2 linked regions of the Coturnix japonica genome follow. The protein of the gene in region 2 interacts with the protein of the main gene of each other region in a pairwise test. Links are inferred from orthologs where the notes say so. Each region holds a gene or a part of one and is shown on either strand. Other genes may lie near its edges.

Region 1 (10,728 bases), on a different chromosome or scaffold from region 2:
CTTTCTGGCACTCTTTGCAAAGTCAACACCAATTGTTTTGCCATCAATTTTTAATGGTGGCTGAAGACTTTGTAAAATCTGCAACAGTTGGGAAGCATCCTACAACAAGAAACACTCATTATTATGAAAAGCAAGTTACTGGAGAGGACACACAAGTTCCCAGAGTTCCATCTTTTCACACACTGCTAGAAACATTTAAAGCTATGGTAACACCTCTGTACCCCCTCACACCATACATGCTGAATACAACAGGATTATAGCCTGCTGACAGTGAGCTTCCCACAAACGCAGGGTCACTGATGACTAAACACTTCAACTGTCATCTTTATCAAAAAGCTCTGTTTGTCCCAAATGACTCCAAAAGGCAGCCCAGCAGAGGCTGTCATCAACCACCCGTTTTCATCCAACACTGAACTGTTGAACTCTGCTTAAAGCAAGTCCAAACAGACCACACTGATTGTCAATTTGAACATCTCCAACAACAGAGGTTCCAGCACCCCTCTGGGAGCCTTCTTCCAGTGTTCAACTTCACACAAAAGGAAGACATTCTCCTTGTACCTTACACTGCCATTTCCCACGTTTCAGTGTGCCTGCTGCCCTCACCATACACCCTTTGAGAACATCTCTGCCACCATTACAGCCTTGCTCTGGATGACGCTGAGAGCAGCAAGATTCCCCCTCCTTCACCTTCTCAAGGTGAAAGGAGCCCAATCCTATGCACTTCCTCACACTGTACACTCCAGCCTTTTATTGTGATCCAAACAACCCCGGCCCATTATTTGTGACCCACGTATGAAGCGAGCTTTCAACCCAGAACTGCACTCTGCCATGAACACTTTTCCCCTGTGTTCACAGCATCCCCCCCCTACTTTCCTTCCAAGCTGCAGCTAACAATGAAAGGCTCTGACACATTTAGTATTTGTTCAATGATCTATGAACCCCCAGGGAACTGGGGCAGACCTCAGCACAAAACCAATAAGGCCCTCACCATGGCAGAAGACAGCTGCACAAATGCAAAGCCTCTATTTTGCTGAGTCTGCTTGTCTTTGATAAGACGAATATTATTGACTGCCAGAGAAGCATACGGAGACAAGGCAGTCATGATGGATTCCACTACTGTGTGAGGAGCAATGTTTCGGAGAATGATGGCTGAGGAAAAAAGAAAGTATGACATTAGCTATGTACATAAGAACTTGAAGTGCTCTGAAAAGCCTTAAAAAAACAAACCAAAAAAACCCCACCACCAAACCCAAAACAGCAGCAGTTTTGGACAAGAGCACGTTTCTGTTTCAAGAGTACAGTATTTCGAGAGTTGGCAGGAAGCACTTGCTCTGTTGGGAAGATGAGAGGGCTGTCAATACTGTTCTAATGAACGGAAAGCACTTCCTGAGCAGAAGCCCTTGCCAACATTCACACGTACCAGTCTACAAAAAGGAAACAACCTAACCATGCTAAGTGCTGTGCCCTGAGAGAGCTCAATGTGGGTGCTAAAGGACACTCTGAGGTACAAACAGGACTTTTCTGCACAGGTTCACAAGTCTCTTTTTTGCAATAATTTCAAGATGACTTACTATCGCAGTAGTAATCCACAGACTGAACGGCTTCTGCTGTTCCAGGTGGCACCTCCTGCTCTGAATCTTCACAGGAAGGAAAAACTTTAATCACAATGTTGCTCAAAGCCAGAATATCACAGGGTAGGCCACAACCTCCATTCTCTTCCAAATTCAAAGACACCCAAAGAGATGAAAGCAACTTACCAAATTTGTCCGCTCCACAGCGGAAGCATTTCAGCCTCCTTCTGAAGTTGTAAAGACAGCACTGTGTAGAAAAAAAACAGTACATCTAGTAAGGACTCCACTGACCCATAACAACGGTGGCATTTGCTGTACTTTGCTGTAAACAAGACAATCAAGCTGAGTACTGCAACAAAGCTGAACCTACTAGAATAATCAAGAACAGCAGAACTCGTGCTCATTGGTACTGCAGCTGCTTTTCAGAACACCCCAGCCACCTCTGATCAAGTCAGTAAACTATCCTGAATTACACGACTATGTTATCTGTATCGTTTAACACAGGCTCAAAAACAAGTCATCTTCATGTGATCAAAGCAGAACAAAGCCTGGTTTTGACCTTGCTACATCATCTCCACTTAAAGAGGGACAAACAAATGTACAGCAGCATGGAGCAGACAATCAATTGGGCACAAAAATGAGTCGTCACCTGGAGGATAGAGAATTCACCTAATGACGTTGCGTTCTGGTACGCTTCACTGACTGACTTCTGTATAAGCAAAAACGACAGCATCCTGCTAGTCTATTTTCCAGTACATACACAAATATTGCATCCATCAGCAAAAGCTGAAGCTCAACCTAAGGCTGAAAGTATTATTGATTTTCTAAAAAGAGATGGCAAAACCACAGAGAAATTCCCTCAGGGCCATGACTATCCTATCAGCTCTGCTGTGAGGAGCAGCTCCTGGGAGATGTGCTCTGGGTCAGGCATACATTAGTGGGAGCAACACACAACTCCACTAATGAACAGAGTCTCAGCTGGCAAGTACACCAGTGAGCCCCAACCCCTCTTATCTTCTAGCTGCTGATGTTCTCTGTGGACAATTTCACCACTCCAGGTGTTTCTACCAGCAAAACCTCTTCACTCCTGTGCCTTAGTGTTCCTCTGCTGTTGTTGACCACAAGGCCTGTATTATGCATTGTTTTGTCTTAATCACACAGCTGGTGTAAAGAACTGAAACGATGAGAAATAGATAGAAACACACACTGTACCTTGTTGCAAAGCCAGTCCTCAAATTTCGGCCTGGGGTTGCTGTAGTGCATCGCAATCTGCTTCCCCTGAATCACCAGCTTTTTCTGCAAAAGAAGTGGTTTCAGTTATTCCTGTATCGAGGCACACGTGTTCATTTTCCCATGGCAGAGCACCCTTCGGAGGAATCAGTGCTCCTGAATTAAATGGACAACATATGGGGAGGATGTGGAGGACAACCACCGCCACCTACACCCTGCCCATCCAATCCTGCAGAGAGGAGGACGAGGGCAGTAAGAGAATGGGATGTGGAGCAGAGATAAACGGAATCAGGGAGTGTTGAAAAAGTTGCCAAACACTAAACGCTGACATGGAACCAGGAAGTGTCTCGAAGGAGACAGAGTCCTAACTCGCTGCGTTCAGGATTAACACATTTTTAGGAGTCTCCTTGCCCCGTTTCTATTCACTTCTGGTATAGTATTGAGCGACTTTTTAAACATGTCCTTAGGTGACTGCTTCACTTCTTCCCCTACTCCAAATTCCCCAGACCTTTAAACAACCACATTTGCAATATTTTTCCAAGCACTTTCTTCAGAAGCGTCCCTTTGTAAATACAGTAATTCCTTCCAAAGGGACCCTGTTTAGACTTCTTGGAGGCTGGTTTACGAGTGCCATCAACCAAAACGGAACTCAGAGTGCTTTCCTTTGACTAAAGCATCAGTTCAATTGGAAGCCTGCGCATGAGTTTTGTGTTCTTCATTCAGGCATGAGCTCTCCAAAATGACTAACTAGAGCGAAGCTTCTCCTGGGGTAGGAAAAGTTCACGATGCTTTCAGCATGTCTGCTCACCCTGACTTCACAGCAATTGGGAATTTAGATTGCTTTTAGAAGCCCCAACTCTCAGCCTCGTGCTTTGCCAAGTGCGGGCACGTAGAACGCCCCTTCATTCAATATACGGACAAAGTATTTCAGTCAAACAGGCAGAAGGAAGTTAAGTCTGAGGAAACGTGCACTACAGGCCAACCCCGAGACACTTTAATACAAGAACCAGTTTTACGACAGGTTGGCTTATTGCAGAGGTACCACAGGAGCACCAGGACCAGTGGCTTCTCTGTAACAGGGTCTGACAGATACATGTAGCATGAATAAGGCTCTCACATTCTGTGCAACTATATAGGGCAAAGCCATTTCTCCTACCGGCAGGAGGGAGGGTTGGAGGGCCCAGCGCTCACTGGATATGCACACATAGAAACAAAGCTGCTGGCACAGTTGCAATACATCATTCTTTCATCTAACAGTCAGCGACCGGGCTGCCGGGGAGACTCTATGTTTTCCCTACTACTAGGGTGGCTGGGTTACTGGAGTGAATTTGAATATTTGTTTCAATAAATTATGCATCAATACAGCTTTGTATATATTAAAACTGTCTCATTTCTAAAAATGCACTCAGCATTGATTTACTGACACGAGTCCTTCTGCTGCACCCGCCCACCCTACGGAGCAGGGCACCATGAAACAGAACCAGAGCTGTGCTATGGGGAACGACTCCCAGCACAAAGCACACAGCTACCTCCATCTGCTGGAGATGCTCACAGTGCTGCTGCAGCGCCTCAACACATAAACCAATGCAGCAGAATACATTCCTCATGCTGCCCACAGACCTTCACAGCATGCACTTAGCTGTAGAAGCACAAGGGGCTCAATATACTTTGCTCGCTTCAAAAGCGTATTTAACATCTGTTGTTAAAACAGACTAAGGCACAAAAATTAGCAAATCCAAGGCGTGCCTCCAGTGCAAGTGGAAAGCAATGAGAGCACTTCCTGCACTTGGGCTCTTCATCAAATCACAGTCCAGAAAAGCCAAAATACACAGCGCAGATTTGAAGAGCCCTCAGTCCACATTAGACATATTTGGAATAACCACGTTTCTCCATCATTAGAGCCAGGTGTCTCCCCTTAACTCAGGGAACGCATCTTTCTAATGACCTGGCACATCTTTTTCTGAGCTCTACTGCAGCTTAATGCTGATGTAATGAAAATATCACAGTATCCAATGATGCCTTCTCTGGCAACAGGAGAAGTAGCAGGTGGAAGTAAATGAAGAGCCATTTATGGACTATATGCTACTCTTCCCAGAGCCAAATAAACTGATGCTGTGTGATAAGACAACAGCTCGTTTTATGAGGGAGTGCTCAAAACAGCCCATTTTCTGTCCTAACGTTAGCTGCTGTTTTGTACCACTGTTAACATTTTAATATATACAAAGCTTTTATTCATTTCAATCACTGTTATGGACCAAACCACTCCTTCCACCTTTGTTTTTTTTTTTTTTTTAACTGTACAGACTTTTTCCATTTTCAGGAATATCTAGACTTGGTGAGTGAAGCAACCTGATTGGCTTCCATCCAGCTGGTAGCATCTTGAAAGTGATAAAACTCCACGAAGGCGAAACCACGGCTTACACCTAGAGACAGCATTCAGATATAGACGGGATACTTGTGTTAGTCAGTTCCTTTAAAACAGGTGAATCTCTCTCCAACTGCTTCATTACTTCATGACAAAGCAGCTTTACAAATGCGACGTCAACTGCTGGGATCTGCTCGTTATTTTGCCATGGCAAGGAACCAAGCTCCCTTAACTGGCTACATTTCACTCCATTTGAATCCACGTTTACAGGTAACCATGCAACAGACTACATACTATTAAATGGGTTTATACTAGTATTACTTACCAATACCTGTTAACTAAAACCCCTGGAGACAGACTTCTTTTTAACAGGACGAGCTATCTACAAGTCTTCCAAAAAGCCACATTCCTTAGCCATGGCAAACGTTTATTTTTTTATTGATTGCACGTGCTTGCAGTTTGGGGATAATTCTGGACACTCTTTTGGGCTGGGGAAGAGGAAGGCCGTAGCAAAAACTGGATAAGAGCTCTCACCTGTCTTTCTCTTCATCAGCCTCACGTCTGCAGGCTGAGGACCTTCAAAGGACTCAATAAGCTCCCGGATCTGCGTGAGATTTTAATCAGACAGTTAAGTTTTCAAATATTGGCACACAGCTCAGGCAAACAGAGAAGCAACCCAACCTACAGCATGCACAAGAGATACACAGAGCACAGGGAAAAGAAGAAAACCTTTAAGGTGAACTGGAGCCTGACATGCAGCACAGAACCCACACAGCCCTGCACTGTCCTCACTTAGCTCACAGAATCATCCAGAATCTGAATCACCGTGGCCTTGAATTCCAAGGCCATCAGTACGAAATTTGGCTTACTCCAATGTTGCTACAAAGAATGCTGCTAGCACAGCCCCCTCCCTGCAAGCCTGAATACAGCCAACTCCTAACAAAGCAAACTAACACGACTGGGAGGTTCAGCTATGCATATTTCCTTAAGCCCATAGCCATGACTGCAACCTTCTAACACAATTCCCCTTTGCTTTTCACAAAGTAAGTGAGATTTGTTAAGAATACTGTCAAAAGACACTACAGGGCCAGCAGCCCTTCAGACACAACCGAGCTGCTTAAGTTGGGCATCACAAACTAGATTAAATTGAGAAGGAGCACAAAGGAAAAATAAACACGAAGAACTGGCTCCTAAGAAAAAGGTTCTCAGCAGCTCTTACTCATGCTGCATTACATACAACAGCAGTATTTACAATGTGCTGAATTAAAAGCAAAAGAAGCAGAGACCAATCACTGAGGTGGTGCAAAAGGATTCTCTGCATTAGCAACTGGTGCACAAAGATCTCAGGGTCAGGAGGGGAGTCTGCCTGAAAACAAGCCGATACACCTCGGCTTTTACAGCTGGTTCTTATCCCACCTCCCACAGCAGCTGTAACCTTGTGGTCCTGGTTGCTCAAAGAGCAAAAAGCCTCCAAGGGGGGCTGCAAGGTCTTTCTATTGCAGTCAGATGATGGCGCACAGCGCTCGCTCCTTCCCTCAGCTCCAGAGCAGCCATTTTATGGCTATCACAGCTGTACACACACAGCTCCATAGGGCTGCTCTGAGCCGAGGAGCTCAGCATCTGAGCCGCCCCACCAGCCCCTATTTCTGGCTTCCACAAAAGCCTAAAAAAGAATTAAACCACTTTTTCCTTTAACAATTCCTGGAGAGTAACAACAAACACATACAACGTGCATCTTTATCCTCTTCCAAGTGCTGAGTTGGAAGAGTAAAGAACTACACACACATAGCTTTAAAACCCACAAAAAGCTTATGGGAATCGCAGTGTTCACACAGGGTCCTGTTTAAAACAGCTTAACACTGAGGTGACCTCTGCTGTTAAACAGCAGCAGCCGGAACCCTTTCAGGATTCAAAATGGAAGCGCTCCCAACGCATTTAGAAGGGGGGGGGGAGGGGGAACATGACATGGCGCTCAACAAAATGGCAGCAGCTCTGAGCACTCCTCAAAGCTCCTTTTGCCTACTCACATCGTTCTCTGTAACCGTGATGGGGAGGCCACGCAACATGATGGTCTTGCTCTCCTTCTCGTCGTTAATGTCGTTCCTGTAGTCGTGCTCTCCGTAGTCCCCATCGGAGTGATAACCATCTTCGGATTTATCGCTGTTCCTGCGTTCCCGTTCCCTCTGGAAGCCAACAGCCGTCAGGACCCCGCTGCCACCCACCAACACCCCATTGCTCAGCCCGCATCGCTCTGCTCACCTCGGGGCTGTCGTAGTCTCTGCTGTCGTAATCTCTGTCGTAGTCTCTGCTGTCCCGGCTGTCGTAGTCCCTGCAATCCCTGCTGTCGTAGTCTCTACAGTCGTAGTCTCTGCTGTCCCTGCTGTCGTAGTCCCTGCAGTCTCGGCCGTCTCGACTATCGTAATCCCTGCAGTCCCTGCTGTCTCGACTATCGTAGTCCCGGCTGTCGTAGTCCCTGCAGTCCCTGCTATCGCGGCTGTCGTAGTCTCGACTATCGTAGTCCCTGCTGTCGTAGTCTCGATAGTCCTCGTAGCGCTCCCCGCGCCGCTCCTCGCTGCACCGTTTGTACTCATCCCTGCGGCGGCTCCGCGGCTCCCGCTCGTCTCGATCCTCCCTCTCCACGATGGAGCCGTAGCGGCCGCTGCGCTCCGTCCTGCTCACACTGAGGGGACACACCGAGCTCACACCGAGCCCCCTCCGACCCTCATCCCCCTCCGACCCTCCCCGCCTCGCCCCGCCGCCATCTCACCGCTTATCCGAGCCCATGGCGCTGCCCACGGATCGTCCCGGCTCCTGCCCGGCGCTGACCGCCACTACGCGGCGCCGAACACACGCCCGCAACCCCCGCTCCCTCAGCACAAAATGGCGCCGAGCTGACCGCCCGTCTTCTACCCAGCGGGCACCGCGCGAGCCGCCTGGAAGCTTCCAGCTGTTGCGCACGCGCAGCGGTGTACAGGGCACGCTGGGAGTTGTAGTTCGGCCCGCACCAACATGGCCGCCGTCGTGCCCAGCACTGTAGCATCATGGCTATGGGGGTCCCCAGTGCCGGCCCTGCATTGGTACCATGCCCAGCCCCACTCTACCCCCTGTGCCCCCCCAAATACATTTGTATCCGTGCATTGACAGCTGTCTGTGCCACCCTGATGCTCAATGGGGTCACCCCGTGCCATGAGGACACCCCCTGCCCCCCGTTATCGCAGCTCCAGCCCCACACTTTGCAGCATGGCTAATGAAGCCCCCCCCGGCTGCAGCCCCTGCCCCTCCCCGCCCGGCTGTTAGGACCCAGCTGCTGCCCCAGCGCCGTCAGTGGGCGGGCAGAGCTCGGGGGTGACAGCCGGAGCCATCGGCGACAGGCAAACAACGGGATGAGTAATGGGGGACAGCCAGGGGGGGGATGGGGCCGCAGGGAATCCCAGTCCTGCAGTGTGAGCGGGGCTGGTGGCAAGGACCATCCTCAAGGAGCCAAGGTATGTTGGTGCCACCCCACTGCTTGGTGACCCCCAGTGAGGAGGGGGACCCAGAGCTGCGGGGATGGGGTGGGTGGGTTGGCTCTGTGGGATGGGATGGGGTGTTGGGATGGTTAAGGTGCCAGCAGGTCCCACAGTGCCACCCCTGCCATCATCTCTCTGGGATGCTTTGGAGACCTGCTCTGTGTTTCTATGTGGATCTGGTTTTACTCCTTCCCCAGCAGGTAAGGGGACATGAGAAGATGGTGGCCATGCTCAAGGTGGGCTCTCCCTCCATGGGATGCAAGAAGCACGCCCCTGTGACCCCGGCTGTGGAGCTGTTGGCTTAGCCCCCATGGGCATGGAGAACCGAATGGGGCCAAATGGCACAACCAGCCTGGAGAACCCCACCATTCCAGAGCAGTCCACAGCACAGGAGGTGCTGGGCCTCCTCTGCATGGTCCTGCTCACCATCACTGCCCTCGTGGCCAACGTGGTGGTGATGGTGGTCATCCTGAAGACCCCTCTCATCCGCAAGTTCATCTTTGTCTGCCACCTGTGCGTGGTTGACCTCCTCTCTGCCATCTTCCTCATGCCTCTGGGGATCATCTCCAGCTCCTCCTGCTTCGACAGGGTCATCTACAGCATCGCCGAGTGCCGGGCCTTGATATTCCTCAACATCTGCTTCGTCAGCGCCTCCATCCTCACCATCTCTGTCATCAGCATTGAGCGGTACTACTACATCGTCCACCCATTGCGCTACGAGGTCAAGATGACCATCAGGCTGGCTGTGGCAGGGGTCATTCTCATTTGGGTCAAGTCTGTCCTTATCACCATCCTGGCATTGGTTGGGTGGCCTCAAGACAACGGGGCCACCAGCGCCAGCCGCTGCACGGTCTACTGGAGCCCTGGGGCCCACAAGAAGGCTTTTGTCGTCATCTTTTGCATCACCTGCTTCATCCTGCCCACCATCATCATCTTCGCTGTCTATTGCAGCGTCTACCGGGTAGCCCGCCTGGCAGCCCTACAGCATGCGCCCGCCCCGGCGGCTGCCCCACGGCCCCGCTGTGACTCCATCGCCAGCCAACTGACCATGGTCACCATGAGGAACCTGCCGCTGCCCCGCCTGGCACCCGAGCGCTTTTTGGGAGGGAACAAGGCCATCCTCACCTTGCTCCTCATCGTGGGTCAGTTCCTGTGCTGCTGGCTGCCCTTCTTCGCCTTCCACCTGCACTTCTCTGTGGGTGCCACTGCGCAGGGCGGTGGGCACGGCGAGATGCTGGTTACCTGGATTGCCTACTCCTCCTTCGCCATCAACCCCTTCTTTTATGGGCTGCTTAACAGGCAGATCCGCCAGGAGCTGGCCCGGCTCTGGCGCGCTCTTCTCCACCGTCCGCTGGCGCAGGAGCTGTGTTTGGCCATTTCCGAGGCCTCTGTCCAGGAGAACGTCCTGCAGTTCCTCCAGAGAGCTGCCTGCACGCTGGAAACCCACGCTGGCTGCATCAGCCCCAGGAACAGGCTGGAGCAGGGCAAGGGGGGCTGCCCCATCCCTGGCCAGGTTCCCGAAGAGAGCGTCCAAGAGCAGAGCTCTGTGCCACTGTAGCTCTGGGTCCCATCCTCTTTGCTCCTGGTCCATGTTTTACCTGCTGTCCCAGCCTGCGTGCTGGATGACTGGCTCTTGGCTGCATTTTGGGTGCTATCATTTCCATCCCTGGCTCCTGCAGCATGTGGGACATGGGAAGCCAAGGGGCTACAGCATGGGGGGCCATTCCCCCACAGGACTCCTGCCAGGGTCATCCTGCACCCTCCCCAGCCCACATAACACCACTAACACCATAACACCAGTGCCCATGGTACCTCCCCTCCTGAAAGTCAGGATGCTGCTGGGGGGGGATGCTGTGCTCCCAGCCTCCTAAAATAGGAAACCCCACCACAGCAATAGGAGCTGGGGAAAGGTGCCCCCTAGGGGGAGGGAGGGAGGGGGCTCAGGGAAGATCACTGACCATGGGGCCACCCCTCTGCTGTCACCTCATGCACCCCCCCAAGCTGGGGCAGTCTCCACTTCGGGGGGTGGAAAATTGATCTTTTTCACATAAAT
Region 2 (10,704 bases):
GTCATTGGTTAATAGTTGAGTCCAACTTTTACTCATGTCATCTCTCTTGTAGGCTACAAGGACAGCAGGAGATAAAGCCATGCTCAGTATAATCACAGAATTGTAGGGGTTGGAAGGGACCTCTAGAGATCATCGAGTCCAACCCCCCAATGCTGCTTCTGAATTTCCAGAGCCACAAAACCTTGCAGGAAAGTGGCATCCCTTGTTATGGCAAACATCCTATGCCTTATAGTTGAAACTCTCATCTAAAGAATACATGTAAATTATTACAGCAGTACCATAAATAATCTCACACTTAAAAGGGAGCGTACATTGCAAACAGCACATTTAACTTTCCTAAATGAGGTTCAACTCATCCATTTCATAATTACAAAACTGAACTTAGTCTGAGAATGTTTAAAGAAAATAATTACAAAGCAAGTCATGGCAAATCCTGGGGAGATGAAAACTAGTAGCCTACATAACACATACTTCAGTTTAATAGAGTTGGGGTTGCTATTTTTTAATTTAAAGTAAGTCTGTGAAACGAGGCTTTCACAGAAAATTCTTGTCTCCCATTAATTCCAATTTTCTCAGACCTGGGGGCTCATCAAGACTGAAGCAAAAAATGGATTTTAAGAAGGGGGGAAAAGGACTTGCCAGATGGCAGCTCACTCAGAAGATTTGCAACTACTACAGCCTCTTTGCCATTAAAGTTAAGAATCGCTTTGGAAGGTCAAATCCCACAAGACATCCATGAATGCTAACCCTCCATCAGGTAAAAGAAGGCATAAGTCGTTCATGTACATACTTAGCTTGAACATTCAAGCACAGAAGAACATCATGCTATGATCAATGGATGTAAAGAGATGAAAGCAGGACAACCACTCATCAAATGGCTTAAGACAGCACTTAAGAACGCAACACTATCACATTCAAAACAACTGTTTCCCCAATTGATAGCAGGATTGTTTTCAGTGTCATATTTCTATAGAGGCATTCAGAAGATCTGCCGCCTCACAGTCAGAACCCACAGGAAGCACAGAAGACTCCAAGATAACTTCTGTGCTTTTGATAGCTTAAGTCCCACTTTTAATATAGATGCATTGGGTTTCTTAAGTTCCTTCCATAAGTTAGAGGTGAAGCAGAAACACAACTCAACAGCTGATGGATCTTTAAAAAAAAAAAAAAAAAAAAGGCAATATAGCCCTAAGGAACCTTCTATACAAGAAGGTACTTAAAATACACAGTAAAATAGCACAACATTCGGGTACATAGACATAGAAGGTATTCACTATCCTATGTTCTTCACATTTTTCAGACTAATAAATTTTATAACTTAAAAAAATCTTCCAGGACTTAGTGAGTCAGCTATAATCCCTTTTATGAAGATTAGAATATATCCTCCAGTTTTTAACTTAGTCTTAGATGAAAGGCATTTATCAGATTAGAGAAAAAAAGGTCTTTTTAATATCATATTTCCACAGAGAACAGTTCAAGAGTTGAGCAAGTTTGTTCTTCTATAAACACAACACAGCATGCCCTTCCTTATATGTTCCCCATTTTCCCAGTCCCCAAACTCTTAAGGGCTAGTGAAGCTCTGCATACCTGCTGTCATTGAGGAAGACCACATCAAACCAATACCTGATATTCCCATTGAGTTCTTACCTGTAGCACTAAGCTTCAGAAAACACTAACATGACCTTTTTCCGCTACATTTTACCTACTTTCAAGCAACCACCTACATAAACTGCTAAAGGGATACGAATTTGAAGCCAGCACCTCAAAACTATCTTCATTTACCAAACATGTAACCACCAAGGAGCCTAAAGGAGGTAAAGCCAGAGAACACAGTAGGGTTTAAAACAAGGGACGGTGAAAGATTCTCCTCACATACTTCTGCATTTGTTAAGCAAATCATACACTCATCAAATCAGTTTTGCTTGTTATTTATGAGATGTTCTGCATAATGACATTAAAGATACCAAATAAAGACTCAATCCCCTTACTTAGCAACCATCCCAACCTTTAAGAACTCCACTATTGTGAAAGTAAGAACTCACCTGTGTTGTTTTACCAGACCCAGTCTCTCCAACCAGCACAAATGACTGATGCCTAATCAAGATATCCGTGAATCTTTCTTTATATTCCCAGACAGGAAGCTGTAGTCGTTTCTTCAGTATGTCATAATAACGAGGTGTATGTGGTAGATTTGTGAAAGGGTTAATACTGTGTGGAATCATTGCTGGTTTCATAGGTGGCAACCCAGCAGCAATGAGCGTAGAGTTAGACGCAGCTCGCAACTCCTTTTCCTTCTCCCTTTCTCTGTCACGATCTCTATCTCTGTCACGATCCCTGTCACGATCTTTCCGGTCATCACGGTCCCTGTCTCGGTCACGATCCTTCCTAAAATGAGTTAGGAAACAGCAGAAAATTAGGATATTTAAATGTTAGGAAGAGATTTGAACACAAATTGATTTTAAACATCTCTACAACAAGGTGAACATAAACCAAATATTTTAAGGATTCCTTCCAACAGTTACCTGTTGTTATCTGGGGTATAAACAAAGCGCAACTATTTCTAGTACTGTGCATCAATCACCATACACAACTACTGCCACAGTTCCTCTTGTCACAAGCAAGACCATAGAGAGCACCATCTTAACCCTCTTCATTTAATGGCTGTCAGCAACCTGCTACGCTCTGCGCTTCTCACAACTCTTCCTCCAAGTGCACAAAAATATGAACATTATTACTCTTATAGCCTAATTAACAAGAGAATTAGGCCAGCCACAGAAACTAATAATAAATGAGCCCTGAAAAATGTTTGATTCTAAGATCCCAGAATGGCTTTGGAGCTTTCAAAAAAAATAATAAAAGATTTTTTTAACAAGTCTTCCATACAATTCTAACTCAACTTTGATTGCTGAGTTAGAAACTTAGAGTTAAAACTAGTAAGTTATGGTGTTTTCTCCAGTATCGCCTCCTACCACCTGCTTCAACAACAGTATGTGTGCACTCCTATTTGTCCCATCCTGTTACCAAACCTCAGACATTGCTATATCTGCACAATTTGTGAAAATCTCTATTACCTGAACTATTCCACATCTTCAACATGAAGAAATACAAACTTAAGAACATCCATAAGGAAAAAACTTATTACTTCAAGTTATAAATCTACTCCATTTTCTCTAAACTAAGATAATCTACAAAGTTAAAATCAAAGCAGCAATACCAGAACAAGTCAATGGCAAATAACTGGCATTAAACACCAACCAATCTTGGACTGGTCCACTACTTTTATCAGAGATGTGAAGTATACTTTCTTCTAACCATAAAGTCCAAGAAATAATTATATTGCAAGTGCAGAGAAATAGGATTATTTTTGTTGTATGCTCAAAATTGCATCTCACCTCAGTCTTTGTGGCAGTTTCAGATTACTAAGATCTGTGTACCCGTCTCCACACACAATTTTGCTTCCCCTACTGAACCCTGATACACTCACCAAGAAACCCCCAGATTTACCAAAGAAATACAGCCACACAGTTCCAATAAAACTCCAAACCTTACTGTGATTTGGCACTTTGAAGAGAGTCCCACTTTACCAATAAATTCCATTTTTTAGATTACATTTTAAACAACTACAAGTTTAAAAAAAAAAAATGGCATTTTTATCTGCAAAACTTTTGAACTAGAAGTGCTAAAGTAATAAGCAAACTTCTAGCTAACGTAAATTAAATGGACAGCAAGTGGGAACCAAACTGGAACTGTTACTCCCCAGTGACTGTTATCTCATTAACTCTTCAGTCATAACAGAAAAGGAACCGATCAAGTTCTACCTACATTTCAGAAGTCAAAAAGCTGACTTAAAGGTCAACCAAGAGAGTTGATTTTCAGTTCCAAAAATGGTTAAGAACAGTATAAAAGAGGGGAATCAGACGTCAGCACAGAAAAAACAGACCTTAAATCTAATCATCAATATTAATCTTTCTACAACAGCATTACTTTCCTAAGAACATGTCTGTCAGCCTTCCACTACCACTGAAATCTATGAGGCACACCAGGTACCTTGCATCAAAACAAGGGACAGGTAGAGTGATGGTTACACTGCCAAATGATAACACTAAAATCTCTGGAAACACAACTTGGCAGTTCTTCATTAATGGAATGTCACATTTAAGTCGCTCCTCATCTCTGCACTTAACAGCCTGACCATAAACCCTAAAACAAACAACAAAAAGAATCAAAACTTAATAACATTTGTCTCGTGCATAAAGTCCACAACAATCTTCATAAATGGGAAGAGGTTGGTGGCAACGGTGGGTTTTGTTGGGCATTTATATTTATTAGTTGGATTTCTGTTCTCATGTGAGGTTGCCTGGTTTGCTACCTGAACTCCTTATGCCCACCCATACAAATAGATGGAAAAAAAAAAAAAAAGGTGAAAAAAATAAATCACTGACTTAGAGGACATAAAAGCACAGAAAACTGCAAATGGAAAAGAAATAAGGTTAAACCAACATTCACAGAATCACAGAATTGTAGGGGTTGGAAGGATCTCTAGAGATCGAGTCCAACCCCCCACCAAAGCAGGTTCCCCTACACCAGGTCATACAAGTGGGCGTCCAAGTGGGACTTGAATATCTGCAGAGAAGGAGACTCCACGACCCCCCTGGGCAGCCTGTTCCAGTTCCATTCATCACAACAGAAGTCTAAGCAAAACTAACATCACTGATACATGCATTTTTGCCACTACTAAGCAGACGCAACAATAGTTGTTGGCAGTCGATGCAGCAGCAGCAGTTAGATTGGCATTTCTGCTCTTTACCTAAGAAAATCAGTGAAAACGATGCATCACACAAACACAGCAACTGTGATGTTACACAACACCAAACAAAGATAAGCGTGCTTAGAAAAAAAAACCATCGGGTTTTAAATTGCACACATACAACTTGCACAGTAGCACTGTAACAGAAAACTTCTAAACCACACCTTCCCCAAAAGGTTTTGTCTTCACAGAGGATTCTTCAAGACAGGAAGATAACGAGTGGTGTCAAGCCACTAAGGCTGCAAGAACAGCTGCAAACCAACAGCATGACTGCCATGTGGGGTTACACACACTGATACAGGCCTCAGAAAGAACATAGCAACAACTCAACATAATTTTACATTGTAGACAGGTGACCCACGTTGAAGGCAAGGTACAATGCTATTCTATACATGATGTGGTATCTATTCAAGGAGCTAATATAGTTTAATCCAGTTCCAAAACCAACTACACTGCAGAAAGCCACAGTGTGCAGAATAGGACAAGAATATACATGTTGGTAACAACTTGTGCATCGCAGCCTTCTGTAGGCTGGAAAACCTACCGACCCTTACATAAGCCAGGACAACTTAGGATGAATAGTGTGTGCCTTGTGCTGGATGAACTAAGATCTCAAGGACTATGACAAAGAAATAAACTCAACAAGTCCACAGTGACTCTTAGTCCTGTGCCACTTAAAGCTTTTAACGGCAGACTTGGTAAAGTTTTAATGGCAGATGAGGGAAGGACAAAGGGACACAAACCCGGCACCTATGGAGGTTTGAGGTGCAATATTCTGTGCTGATTCTTCTCAGATCAACACTTTTACCTAAACAGCACTGCTGGGCTTCAGGGAGGAGCTGATTCAGGATGGGATTCAGGATGGGTTCTGTGCTTCCCAAGAAGGGCAGGCCAGATAAACACAGCCCTGCCTTCCTGAGCCTTCTGAGGCCCTTTGCTCCCAAACCAACGTCAGGGAACACAAAATATGAAGAGACCGCACTAAAACAACAACGGCACATTGTTTGTGTACCCCCCACGCCACTAACCTTGATGGAAGGCTGCTAAAGCTGGTGCATCGAGCCCTAAAAGTAACTAACGCAAAACAAAGAAACCTACTCCCACCGTGACATCCCACCCCAACCCCACCTGGCGCTGCCTCCTCACATGAGGCACAACCCCAGCCGGGTACCCAGCGCAGGCAGCTAACAAAGGAATAACGCTCCCACCCGCTTAAGGACGCAGTACCTCACGCTGACCCCCTGGATCACGTTTGCCACTAAACGAAAACGACACAAGCGCATCAAAAAGGAGATGCGGAGTTGAAGGTACGGGCAGGCCGCACACAAAGCCGCGCCGCCCCACCGCCCCCAGCACAACCCGGCCCCTCCTTCTCCTCCCCGCCGCCATCCGCCTCCCCCACTCTCCAGGCCGAGCTGGGCCCAGTCCCACGCTGCAGCGCGCCCGGGCCTCGCCGCTCCCATCCATCCATCCATCCCTTCGTGCCGCCCCGCACGGCGGAGGCTCCATCCCGCGGGGAGCGGCCTGGGCCCAGAACGAGCAGCCGATCACGGGAGCGGCGCTGATCCCCCCCATCCTCCCGCCCGCCGCGGGCCGCGCTGCCTCGTACCCGTCAGAGCGCTTCTTGCTGGAGCTGTAATCGTCGCCCAGATCTAAGCGGTGGCGCTTGGACATGGCGGGGGCCGCTGGGTGCAGCGGGGCCGGGTTCAAGGGAACGCGCTTTGCGCTTCAAGAGCAGCAGCGACGGCAGCGGCGCCGCGAGGCCAGGAGCAGCCACTAAAATGGCGGCCGGAAGGAAGCGACGGGGCTGAGCGAGCCGCTGCCGCGCATGGGAGTGAGCGCCGCCCCGCCCCGCGCCTCACAACGGCTGCGGCCCACAGCGCTGTGGGGGCGGGCGGGAGCGGATGGCAAAGGTGCTTTCCACAGTCCGTTCTGCTCCCCAGCACAGGAGTATTTCCACGGTGGAAGTTAAAAGCAGAATGATGTTGGCACGTCGTTTTTGTGGGCCGTTGCTGACGCCCATGTGTGTAGAAAAACGCGACCTTTCACAAGTCATCTGAAGCAGAAGTGAGAAAATCGGTGACGTTCATTCAAATACATGACACTCATGTATTTGGGATTGCTAGTGCAAGGGAAGCCCGTGTTCCTAACGCCAGCAGGCACGGCTGCCACTATTACATCAAAGTTCGTTAGATTTGAACACAAACTAGTATTTCATAACAACTGCTGAAGTGCAATGAGACACATGAGCTAAAAATGCCATTTTCTCAATACAGTTATCAGGTCTTTCTTGTGTACTGATGCATTTCACATTTCCAGCCAGTACCAGCAGCAATCTATGGCTCAAACTGGATCCAGCAAACCTGCCTTTTGGGTTGTCTCTGTGTCCTGAACTGTGTTCCTCATCTCCATCCTCCCCCAGCGCCTTCTAGGAACTGGGTTAACCATCCATGCAAGCTGTGTTTGTTCCCTGACTGTAAGCAGAGATGAGGCTGAGCAGGAGAAGACAAAATCAGGCAATTAAGATGTCCCTAAATGAGATGTCCTAAGTGAATCGTTTGTAATGTTAATCATTTCACCACTGATATGAGCACTATTATTTCTAGGCAGACCCCCGTGCTCTCACAACTAGATCCTTCAGCTGTTTCTCCTCTCATCCATCATTAAGTCTTAGCAGCTGCCTTGCTTTCCAAAACAGTCACTTGATAATACAGCATAGCTCATAAAAGTCAATCTCTGAGAGCTTCTCGAAAGGCAAGAAGGATGTTTCTTGATACTTATCTACTGTTGGACATTCTCTTCTCTGTTCCTCCCTGCTTTCCCAGTATATTTCATGTTCTCTCAGTGCTGCAGTAGTGGTTTAAATTAATGTCTCAGATAAGACAGGTTAATATTATGGCAGTACATTTCATTCCTATCTCTTCATCTAGGTGCACCTGACAAAAAATACATTGTTTTCCAAGTCATCCTCCCTGCCTGTTCTCACTGCCTTTCTGCCAGAGATTACCAAAACCTTCACCTAGCTACTTGGAGGAGTGGTCACTCCCCAGCACTTTGGTCAAAGGAATTAGGTTAGATCAGATGTTTTGAATAAGAATTTGTTGTTAACTTGTGTAACTCTGAGGGCAAGAGAGTATTCTCACAACTGGCTCAGCTAGCAAATCTGAAAATGGTCAGAAAAAATCACTTAGCAGCAAGTGACCTGTTCCACGGGCACAGCCAGCTCAGGAAGTAGGTGTTTACCCACACCCTCATGTTCTTCCAGAGTTACATCAGTGTAACTGCTATAACATTCCACAAAGACAAACCATCAGTGTATATTTAGTAGAAGAGCATTTTTTATTTTAAACGATACAACAAAACGACACCCTCAGCTCAAGTTCTAGGCACTACTACAATAAAGAATACCATTTTTTTCTGCTTGAAGTGATAACTGAAATAAACATTCCAGAAATTCTGGACTTTGAGCTTTTCATGCAAAACTGGAAGTAATTTTCCAAGTTATATTACAAAAAAACTCTGGAAAAATCTGTGTCACAGTTTGCCAGGGGTTAAATGTTACGGGTTTCTCTCTACATGCCAAATATCAAGCTTATTTTCTCCAAGGCAGCGTACAAAGCACTACATTCCCAGAGGGTAGCTACACAAAGCTCTTTAAATGACAACTGTATTAAGCAAAAGCTTAAGAATACTGGAAATAGGGGAGACGTTGAGCTGATTAGAGAAGGGAGACAAAAAATAAAACAATAAGGGGGCTGGATCTCCCTGGAAAGTGGGAAAAATAGAAGAATGTAAAAGCATTACATGCATCAGCTGTGAAGGGTAACACCTGAGATTCTTAGAAGGCAGAGGCTGTTCAACAACAGGTGCATGGAGCGTTCAACTGTACGTTCCTGATCTTGATTGCTCCTCCAAGCAGCATAAAGGCACTTAGGCTCTTGATCCAGGTTACCACATGGCCAACCTCAGGAAAGCTCCTGGTTTAGGAGGAGGGAAAAGCAGAATAGATATCTCAGCAGGCATGAGATCTTAAAACTGGTTACACCTTCTCAGAAAACAATACATATATAGTGTGTCATGTGGGGTGAGCTGGAGTCCTCTGTCCCAGACTGATACCTCATGCTCCAATTGTCTTTATTAACAGTACTTTGCAAACTGCTGAATGCAGCCTCCACCCGTGTTTTGAGCTATTGGCTCCATAATGAACAATTTTGTCCCATCATCCTGAAGAATTGTCAATCTAAGGCTTTCATCCTGCAAGCACACACATGCTTTATTTTACTAATGCAGTTAATCCTTTTAACTTCAAAGGGATTACTACAAGTAGCAAAATTAAGCATGTAGGTAAGTATTCACAGGATTCTAGCCCAAATGTAAGATAAGACGAGAAAGAAAGATTGAGAAGCACAAATTGACATAATGACAAAGTGGTGAGCATTACGTCAAAAGCTTCAAGGATGAAAGGAATGTGCAAAATAGGGCATATTTAAGCATATTTTCCGCCTTTTCAAATACATTTGTTAAATAATAGTTCGGTTTCCCCCATGTCTTTCATAACCATCTATAAGAATGAAAATCTTAGATCACTGAGTTAGGAGATATTTATGAGTTGCCTTCTGAGCATCTATTCTTCTCTCAGTTTCTTACCCTAGTTTTTAAAAGTACACTCCTTGGTATCAAAATCCTCTCAGACAATTTTTAGTGAATATTTCTTTGATTTTCATGTACACATATTACTCTCATGTTAATTGGGTTAAAAAGGGCATGAACATTTAAAACTGAAACAGTTGCTGTGAATAACATCTATGAAACACTATAATTTGTTTTCTGATTTTGTGTTTCCTTTTCCCCAAGAGACTAAGCATGGGTCTTAGGCAAGTTGTAATTCAAGTACATGCCCCTGGAACAAATGAGGATTCTGACAGAGAAGTCCAGTATCACAATTTTTTACTGCATGCAACTAATTATTTCACCGTCCTCATAGAGATTCTAAGCCTATAAAGGGCAGAAAAATGACATATATCCAGCCTAGCATCTTAGCTGAAACACACCTTCCTTATTCAAGCTAAAACAAGGTTGTGGGTGATGTGAAACCACACTTACTCATCCACTGCAGGAATGGAAGCAGAAAGAGTAAGCAGTTACAAGAGACAGCTATGAGGGGTGGGAGGGAGCATTTAAATTTGCTGTAGCTTTACTGTTAGAGCCCTAAAATCTCTGTAGTATGTATTTATTTCATGGCTGGCCAGTTGGTGGTAGACTCAAGGTTATACATTTGCAATGCTATGGCCACACTTACTTTGCCAATATTTACATGGCCACACTTACTTTGCCAATATTTACAGTCTGTTTTTTAAAAATCATAGAATCCTTAGAATTGGAAGGAACCACTAAAAGTCATCCAGTGCAACGCTCCTGCAACCAAATGGATATCTGCAGCTAGATCAGATTGCCCAGGGCCTGATGCAGGCTCACCTTGGAAGTCTCCAGGGACAGAGTATACCCATCACATCTCTGGGCAGCCTGTCCCAGTGCCTCACCATGCTCACTGTAAAAGACTTTTTCCTTATATCTAACCTAAATCTACCCTCTTTTCACTTACAACTGTTTCTCCTTGTCCTTTCACCACAGACCCTGCTGAATAAACTGTCCCCTTCTTTCCTGTAGCTCTCCTTCAGATAGTGAAAGACCGCTATCAGGTGACCTTGGAGCCTTCTCGTCTCCAGGATGAACAGCCCCAGCTCTTTCAGCCAGTCTAACACTTTCTTCCTTTTTTTTTTTTTCCCCTTTTTTTTAAATCTACAGCACATGATATTAAAGAATTTCCTGCAAACTAATTTAATAAAAATAATAAAAAAGTATTTATGATAAAGCAGTCTGCTCTAAAAGAATATATA

The links.
Region 1: the proteins of DHX15 (region 2) and RBM5 interact in binary tests that used the Homo sapiens proteins (3 or more experiments, as listed by UniProt). The link is inferred for Coturnix japonica from reciprocal best matches to the Homo sapiens genes DHX15 and RBM5.

Annotation. Positions count from the first base shown.
Region 1 is NC_029527.1:1,961,257-1,971,984, reverse strand, and holds the start of RBM5 (RNA-binding protein 5), read right to left. Parts: upstream 8,069-10,728; 5' UTR 7,951-8,068; coding exon 7,934-7,950; intron 7,847-7,933; coding exon 7,426-7,846; intron 7,350-7,425; coding exon 7,194-7,349; intron 5,771-7,193; coding exon 5,701-5,770; intron 5,225-5,700; coding exon 5,151-5,224; intron 2,868-5,150; coding exon 2,784-2,867; intron 1,819-2,783; coding exon 1,758-1,818; intron 1,638-1,757; coding exon 1,572-1,637; intron 1,150-1,571; coding exon 989-1,149; intron 100-988; coding exon 2-99; intron 1-1. Other genes in the region: probable G-protein coupled receptor, read left to right, coding at 8,932-10,233. UniProt on the Homo sapiens protein: Component of the spliceosome A complex. Binds to ssRNA containing the consensus sequence 5'-AGGUAA-3'. Regulates alternative splicing of a number of mRNAs.
Region 2 is NC_029519.1:66,705,745-66,716,448, reverse strand, and holds the start of DHX15 (pre-mRNA-splicing factor ATP-dependent RNA helicase DHX15), read right to left. Parts: upstream 6,606-10,704; 5' UTR 6,482-6,605; coding exon 6,417-6,481; intron 2,386-6,416; coding exon 2,043-2,385; intron 1-2,042.